Coturnix japonica: one gene and its partner. The protein of the gene in region 2 purifies or fractionates together with the protein of the main gene of each other region. This does not show direct contact. Links are inferred from orthologs where the notes say so. Each region holds a gene or a part of one and is shown on either strand. Other genes may lie near its edges.

The links.
Region 1: the proteins of MAD2L1 (region 2) and RNF8 purify together in Homo sapiens (co-immunoprecipitation; 3 studies listed by BioGRID and IntAct, with this or other methods). This does not show direct contact. The link is inferred for Coturnix japonica from reciprocal best matches to the Homo sapiens genes MAD2L1 and RNF8.

The regions. Positions count from the first base shown.
Region 1 is NC_029518.1:27,124,851-27,128,595, reverse strand, and holds the start of RNF8 (E3 ubiquitin-protein ligase RNF8), read left to right. Parts: upstream 1-1,576; 5' UTR 1,577-1,664; intron 1,665-2,431; exon of another isoform or gene 2,432-2,816; 5' UTR 2,817-2,864; intron 2,865-3,059; 5' UTR 3,060-3,119; coding exon 3,120-3,188; intron 3,189-3,745. Other genes in the region: AARS2 (alanine--tRNA ligase, mitochondrial), read right to left, coding at 215-360, 949-1,137, 1,253-1,576. UniProt on the Homo sapiens protein: E3 ubiquitin-protein ligase that plays a key role in DNA damage signaling via 2 distinct roles: by mediating the 'Lys-63'-linked ubiquitination of histones H2A and H2AX and promoting the recruitment of DNA repair proteins at double-strand breaks (DSBs) sites, and by catalyzing 'Lys-48'-linked ubiquitination to remove target proteins from DNA damage sites.
Region 2 is NC_029519.1:48,826,463-48,830,207, reverse strand, and holds the start of MAD2L1 (mitotic spindle assembly checkpoint protein MAD2A), read right to left. Parts: upstream 2,812-3,745; 5' UTR 2,750-2,811; coding exon 2,674-2,749; intron 2,515-2,673; coding exon 2,368-2,514; intron 2,280-2,367; coding exon 2,159-2,279; intron 759-2,158; coding exon 655-758; intron 68-654; coding exon 1-67. UniProt on the Homo sapiens protein: Component of the spindle-assembly checkpoint that prevents the onset of anaphase until all chromosomes are properly aligned at the metaphase plate.

The DNA of each region.
Region 1 (3,745 bases), on a different chromosome or scaffold from region 2:
ACCAACTGCACCTAAGCAGCAGCTTAAGGGTAAAACGAGCCAGAGGATGAAGAGTCCAACTCTTCGTAACCCAAAGGAAGAAGAAACGAAATGAGTTTAAGACTCAATTTTTGGCTCCCATGTTTGTCTTCCATCAACTAATGAGCAAACGAGAGACTATGGAGACTGGGATGTCAATATCGCTTGCTCAGAGCCCCTTCTCTAGCATGCTTACCCCAAGCTGAGCCATACATCCCTGCACTCCTCATCTGCACCCAGCCCCAGTGAAGAGTCTCCACCAAAATATGTGACGTAGAGACGATCCTTTGGGATCTTGTAGACCTCTGTCAGGAGCTCCCAGGCCATGCTACACGCTTCCTCCTGAGCAGACAGGAATACAAAGGAAGCACAGGAACACAGAGTCGAATGAGACAAGGGGGTTCTTCAGAATGACAGTCAGGCACCAAATCAGCACGTCCCAGCTATCACAGAATCAAAGAATGATCCGGGTTGGAAGGGACCTCAAGGATCATGAAGCTCCAACCCCCCTGCCTGGCAGGGCCACCAAACATACACATTTACTAGATCAGGTTGCCCAGGNCCCGTCCAACCTGGTCTTGAACACCTCCAAGGACGGGGCATCCACAACCTCCCTGGGCAGCCTGTTCCAGGGCCTAACCACTCTCCTAGTAAAGAACTTCCCCCTAACATCCAACATAAATCTTCCCCCTTTCAACTTAAAACCATTTCCCCATGTCCTGCTATTGTCAGCCTTTTCCAAGAGTTTACTCCCCTCTTGGGTGTAGGTTCCCTTCAGGTATTGAAAGGCTGCAATGAGGTCACCCCGCAACCTTCTCTTCTCTAGGCTGAACAAACCCAACTCCCTCAGCCTGTCCTCATAGGGGAGGTGCTCCAGCCCCCTGATCATCTCCGTGGCCCTCCTCTGGACCCTTACTCTCGTCACCTCACCTTGAAGTAATCCCCGAAGGACCAGTTCCCCAGCATCTCGAAGAAGGTGTGGTGGTAGGTGTCACGGCCCACGTCCTCCAGGTCGTTGTGCTTCCCCCCGGCCCGCACGCATTTCTGGCTGTTCACCACCCGCCGCTGCTGTGCCAGCTCGCTGCGGGGATGCGCCGTGCCCAGGAAAACGGGCTTGAACTAGAGGGCATGAGGCAAAAACACCCACTATTGCCAGCTGTCACCCATGTTCGGCCCTCAAAGTATATGAGAGAGGGCATCCGGGCTGAGGGGGGAGGAAGGTCAGGGCCCGCACCTGGTTCATGCCCGAGTTGACGAAGAGGAGGGTCGGGTCGCCGCGGGGCCGCACGGGGGCGGAGGGCAGGAAGCGGTGGCCGTGCTTCTCCTGGAAGAAGCGGAGGAAGGCGGCGCGGATCTGTGCCGAGGGCGGGCAGGAGGCACCGCGACGGGGACAACGGGGCCAGGGCGGCCGGACTGCGAGCAGCGGGAGGCGCAGAGGACCGGCCGCCGCCATGTTGGCCGGGGCGGATGTCGGCACAGAGACTTCCGATGAAGCGGGGCCCGACGGGACAGCGGAGGAGCGCCGGGAGCCCACCCGGTGCGGGGCCCGGAGCGGCATGGCGGCGGGAGGCAGCTCGCGGCCCGCATGGTGCCTGCGGAGAGTCGGGGCGGGCGGCGGCTGGCTGCTGCTGGAGGCCGGCACGCAGGTCAGCGGGGCGAGGGACGTGGCCCTTGTGTGGTGGGAAGGCCTCCCAGAGCGGGTGTGGTGGAGCCTGGGGGTTAAACGAGGGGAAAGTCGAGGCCGGGCCGGCTGCTTTTAGCGCCGGTAACGTGGGAAGGGGTGGGGATGAGAACCAGGAACGGAGCTTAATTCCCTGCGTACCTCGCTGTTATGGGCCTTAACGTCAGCTCAGGTCTACAGAGAAGCTGCTTGTAGTACTGTAGTGTAAGAGGAAAAAGGCCTCTTTTACCGGGGCTAGCATTATGCAACGTAGTCGCTTTTCATGCTTCTGTTACCTAGGTTATGCTTTGCATTTGCTTCCATTGTATCTCAGTAGAACGTAGGGCATTCTCGAGCGTGTTTGGAGCTGGGAGGTGTGCACAAGCACTCAGTGACTGGTACGTGTTGCTGAGCGTGGAATGTAGCAGGCTTGCAGCACCGGGGTGACCTCATTGCAGCCTTTCAATACCTGAAGGGAACCTACACCCAGGAGGGGAGTAAACTCTTCGAAAGGGCTGACAATAGCAGGACATGGGGAAATGGTTTTAAGTTAAAAGAGGGAAGATTTAGGTTGGATGTTAGGGGGAAGTTCTTCACTAGGAGAGTGGTTATGCCCTGGAACAGGCTGCCCAGGGAGGTTGTGGATGCCCCGTCCTTGGAGGTGTTCAAGGCCAGGTTGGACGGGGCCCTGGGCAACCTGATGTAGTAAATGTGTATGTTTGGTGGCCCTGCCAGGCAGGGGGGTTGGAGCTTCATGATCCTTGAGGTCCCTTCCAACCCGGGTCATTCTGTGATTCTGTGCAGCACAGGCTGTATGAGCTGCATGGAGAATCTCGCTGAGGTGAAGCTCTGTTTGCTGCAGCACTGTGCTGTGTGGCAATCTCAGAGAGGGCGAATGGAGCTTTAAACAGCAGCCTGCAATTAGATCAGATTTAACAAGCTACAATGAAACCGTACTGTCACTTTATGCCTGCTTCTTGCAGAAGATGCTGTCGGATTCTGCTCAGATTATTTAGCTTACTTTCAGACTGGCTGTAAGCAGCACGTAGCTCAGGTATCATGCTTTAAGGGAACAATTGTATGTTGTTTTTTTACTTTAAATGACAGTTTTCTGTGCTATTTTTGTTCTCTGTCACAGAATCTTTCCTGTTTAGAGTTGCACAGATGCCGTTAGCTAAAGAAGAGGGTAAGACATATTTTGAGACCCACACTATTGCACTGGCTTGAAAAAATACTGTTTAGTTACTGTCCTCAACTCTTGGGTAATAGCTTTAAGATGCTAATCAAGGTAGATTTCTGCTGTACTTAGATTCAGCTCATATGAATTTTATTGACCGTTTTGTTGATTTTTTTTTTTTTGTTTCAACTGCTTTATTTTTAGGTAACTGTAGGCCGGGGATTAGATCTCACATACCAACTGGTGTCCAAAACCTGTCCCTTGATGATTTCTCGTAAGCACTGTGTTTTTCAGCAAAATGCAGAAGGGCAGTGGACTGTTAAGGATAATAAGGTACAGAGACTGACCGAAGACCTTTTACTCTTAGTTTTACTGTAGCCAGTGCTCTGTTTGGCATAAAAAAAACATATGATCTTCGTTTCTAATATGGTGTAAGTGTGATGGGAGGTTCATGGAAGCACATCATGTCTGTTGTGTGCTTGTAGCAGGAAGCTTTGGTCTGCTGCAGCTGGGATGCAGGCCTTAGTGCTTTCTGTATGTGGCCTTATCCCTTGGTCTACCATTTCCAGGCAATTACAGTCCTACGCAGGGCACTTTGCAGGCTGTGAACTTGCTCTGTGCTCCTTTAGTATAAAATAAGTAAATAATTTACATTCAAGAAGATAAATGTTTTCGTACTGCAAAGAAAAGGATACACTGATACTGCAGTGACTAAATTGCTTTGTTTATAACCAATGACAGTGAAAATCTGTTAGAAAGAAAAGCATGCTTTGCATTGTCCTCAAATATATTCAGGTTCTCCTCAGCTGAGTAGAATGTAGAGAAAGTGTTGAGATCAGAGTCTACAGCGAGGTCTGTCTTTTCCAGTGGTGATCTGTATTGTTTTTTAA
Region 2 (3,745 bases):
CCTGACTCTTCCCACTTTTCTGGCACTACCAAATCTTTATCTGTGTAAATCAGCAAGTCAAAGGCACCTGTAAGCAGGTGGGAAAAAGTTAATGCTACACACATAGGAATGATACCATAATTGAAGTTAAAACGCATGGAGACATGCAAGAAGGTTATCAGTAGTTATGGCATCTATAGAAAAAGAAATGGCAGTTAAAGGAATGAAAACAAATACTAGTTATCATTCCTGTAGTCGCAATATTTATGACAGCTGTAGGTCCTCAGATACACCAAGTTTCTTCAAGCTACTTAAATCACCTTGAATTGCACCTTTTGGGGAAAAAACGAGTTTAAGAGTTTAACTTCCAATGAAGTTGCTCCAAGTGCTTGATTGAAAGAGAGCACAGTATTTACAGTAGCAGTTCTTTTTCAGTTTGTTGTACAAGAAGCAGTACAGGACAATACTTAGAGTACTTTATCTGATGCTGCTTCTATACTGTACATAGCTGAGACTGTCTTGGTCTAACCAAACATATACCCAGAAATGCAATACATGACACTTCAAATAATAATAATAAAAACAGAATAGTGGAAAAGATTTTCTACAATCAAATGCTAGTTCAGGCTTTCTGAAAGAAGTGTCATTTCTTTCGGAGAAGTTACAAATACTCACAGGCAGTTTCCAGGAGAGGCAGAAAAGTTACCGTGGCAGTGATTTGTCTGATAACAGATCGAATTTCATCCTGAATGGCTTTCTGAGATTTGTCTCGGGGTGCGCTGGAAAAATGAGAAAACTCTTTAAGAAAACAACTTGCACCTCCAATACTGACAGCTTTCTTTAAACACAGTTCTTGCTGCACTGCTGTGGGGTATGTTTGCTGTATGGTTATGCAGAAGCATTCTTTCAAGCCTTAGGCTCACAAAACTGTAACTTTCAATTTGTTGTTTGTGAAACCTCGCAGTGTTTTTAAGGACATATTTGCTGTCTGGGTTGGGTGAGAGTTTTGGCAAAACAGCAGAAGAGCAGTAATACAGGACTTTGTTCAGTTGCAGATTACAAAACATTTTGATAACTGAATGATGGAATCATTTGAGTTGGAAGGGACCTCTAATTGTTATGTATTCCAACTCTCCTGCAATAAACAGTCACCTACAGATCCACAAGATTGCTCAGTCCTGCCAGCCTGACCTTGAGTGGCTCCAAGGATGGGGAATCTACTACTACTCTGGATGAACTGTGCCAGTGCCTCACCACTCTTATTGTAAAAAAAGAAACAAACAAACAAAAACAAGCCAAAAAACTTATTTCCTCCTTATATCCAATCTAAACCTCACTTCTTTTAGCGAAACACTTCACTCTTATCACACCCTGTGCCCTGACAAGTCTGTCAGCTTCTTTCACATAGCCCCCCCTCAAAATACTGAAAGGCTGCTCTCTGGTCTCCCCTAAGCCTTCCCCAGGCTAAACACCTCAGCTCTCTCAGACTATCCTCACAGGAGAGTTGTTCTGTCCCTGGGACCATTTTTGTGGCCCTCCTCTGGACACACTCCAACAGCTCCATGTCTCTCCTGTACTGAGAATTCTCAATCTGGATGCAGTACTCCAGGTGATGGCTCACCAGCGCAGAGCATACAGGCAGGATAACGTCCCTTACCCTGCTGACCATGCACAATTCTTTGGATGTGGCCCTGGATACAGTTGGCTTTCTGGGCTGTTAGGTCATATCCCTACTCAGGGATATGATTTAGTGTAGGGTTTTTAGAGTCAGGGTACTGGTTAGGCTGCGGTTGGACTTGATGATGTTCAAGGTCTTTTCCAACCTGGGTAATTCTATGATTTCAGGCTTCATGTCCAGCTTGCCACCAAGACCTTTTCAGCAGGGTTGTGCGCCATTCTTATGTCCCCCAGATTGTACTGAAAGCAGGGGTTGCCCCAACCCAGGTATAATACCTTGCTCTTAGCTTTGTGGAATCACATGAAGCTCACTTGGGCCCACTGCTCAGCCTGTTCAGGTCCCCCTGGATTGCATCCAGTCCCTGGAGCACATCAATGGCACCCACAGCTTTATTTGGTAACGTCAGATAGCTCTTAGGTTACAGAGGTAGCACTACCATACTTGGTCTTTCCCTTGTGTCTCCCAACAGGGAGAAGCAGGCACAGAAACGCTGTCACTCACCTTTCACCCTTGGCGCTCTTGTCACATTCAATGTCAAACTGCCACCGCTCCAGTACCTCATTGTTCTCAATGCTGGAGATGACCACCACCAGGCGCTGCACGGTGCACTTATAAAGCCACTCTGGAAGAGGCCGCAGCATTTACTACGGCTGTATGAGAAAAAGGGGAAGGAGAAAAGGGGACGGGAAGCGGGGGGGGGCAGGTCTCACCTTTCATCTGCTCCACCACGTTGTTGAGGTAGTTCTTCAGCTCGGGGTCGGTGGTGACGAGCAGGGTAAGGCCGTACTTCTGGACGCGGGTGAAGGTCTCAGGGGGGTAGATGCCCCGCTGGTACAGGATGCTGTTGATGCCATAAGCTGCGCGCACAAAGCGGGGAGGCTTCTGTAAGGGGGCCACCCCTCCCGCCCTACAGGCGGCCATGTCGGCCGCGGCATTAGAGCCAGCCGCCCGCCCGCCTTTTTCCCCCCAACCCGCCCCCGTCTCCCCGCACCCCTGGGCGGCCCGCAGCCCCTTACAGAAAAACTCGGCGACGATCTCCGCGCTGCCCCGCAGGGTGATTCCCTGCTGCTCGCGGCCCAGCTGCGCGGCCATGGCGGTGCCCGCCGCCCGCTTCAAATCACGCCCCGCCCCTTCCGGCCGACTGCGAGGGCTGAGCAGGCGGGATGCCGTGCTGCGCATGCGCGGGGTGCGGCCGTTGGCGGGCGGGGTTTGCGGTGTGTGGGTGCGTCCCGTCAGGTGCCGTTGGGTGCGTGTGTCCTTATGGAGGTGCTGCCTCTTCTCTGGGCTATTTCTGGTTGTGCTCAGTACGAAAGCCGCCCCGCTCAGCGTTTAGCAGTCGGATTGCTGTTAATACCCGCTATTCTCCTTCAGCCCCTGCGCTATTCCCGTCCCAGAGCGCTCTCAGAGCCCTTCCTTTCCCACTCTGGGATTTTCTCGTGCTTTTCTCCCTCCGAGGTTCCCTACGAGCCGCCTCCGCTGCGCCATTGTAGTTAGACCCGGTGGAATAGACAAACCCAGCGCTCATAGAAGCGAAGTGCGGCTCCTCAGCGCTCTGGTGGATTCTTAAGGGTCTCCCGTTGCAGGTAGCTGATCTGCTTCAACACAAATTGGTTTCTCCGTGTTTTGGCAGAGGCGGATGAGGAGCTTTTCCATGTGCTGCTGATGCCTGTAGTTCACATTTAGGGCATGTCCAGCTGCGTGACAAGCAGGAGGCTGTGGGGCTGTCACGGGGAGCAGTGGGGATAGTGCTGTGGGTGAGGGAGCGGTGTGTCTGACAGCCCGCTTCCTGAGCAGCTCGCGGGGACTCGGCAATGCAGATGACAGACTGAGTTATACGTTCTGGCACATCACGAGTTGGCCGTCCTTGCTTTAATTATCTCATGCTAAAGCCTTAATTTTCAGAAGGAATGTGAAATCCCAGTTGCATTTAATTTGGTTCTCTTATGATTCTTTAGTCATTGCTGTGTTTCTCAATTACATTTTGATATGACACACACATATATATATTTATTATTCTCTTTTTGTGGAATTAAACATCCCCTATTTATCTTGGCTTTTCTGCAACATTTAATGATTGCTTCCCCATGG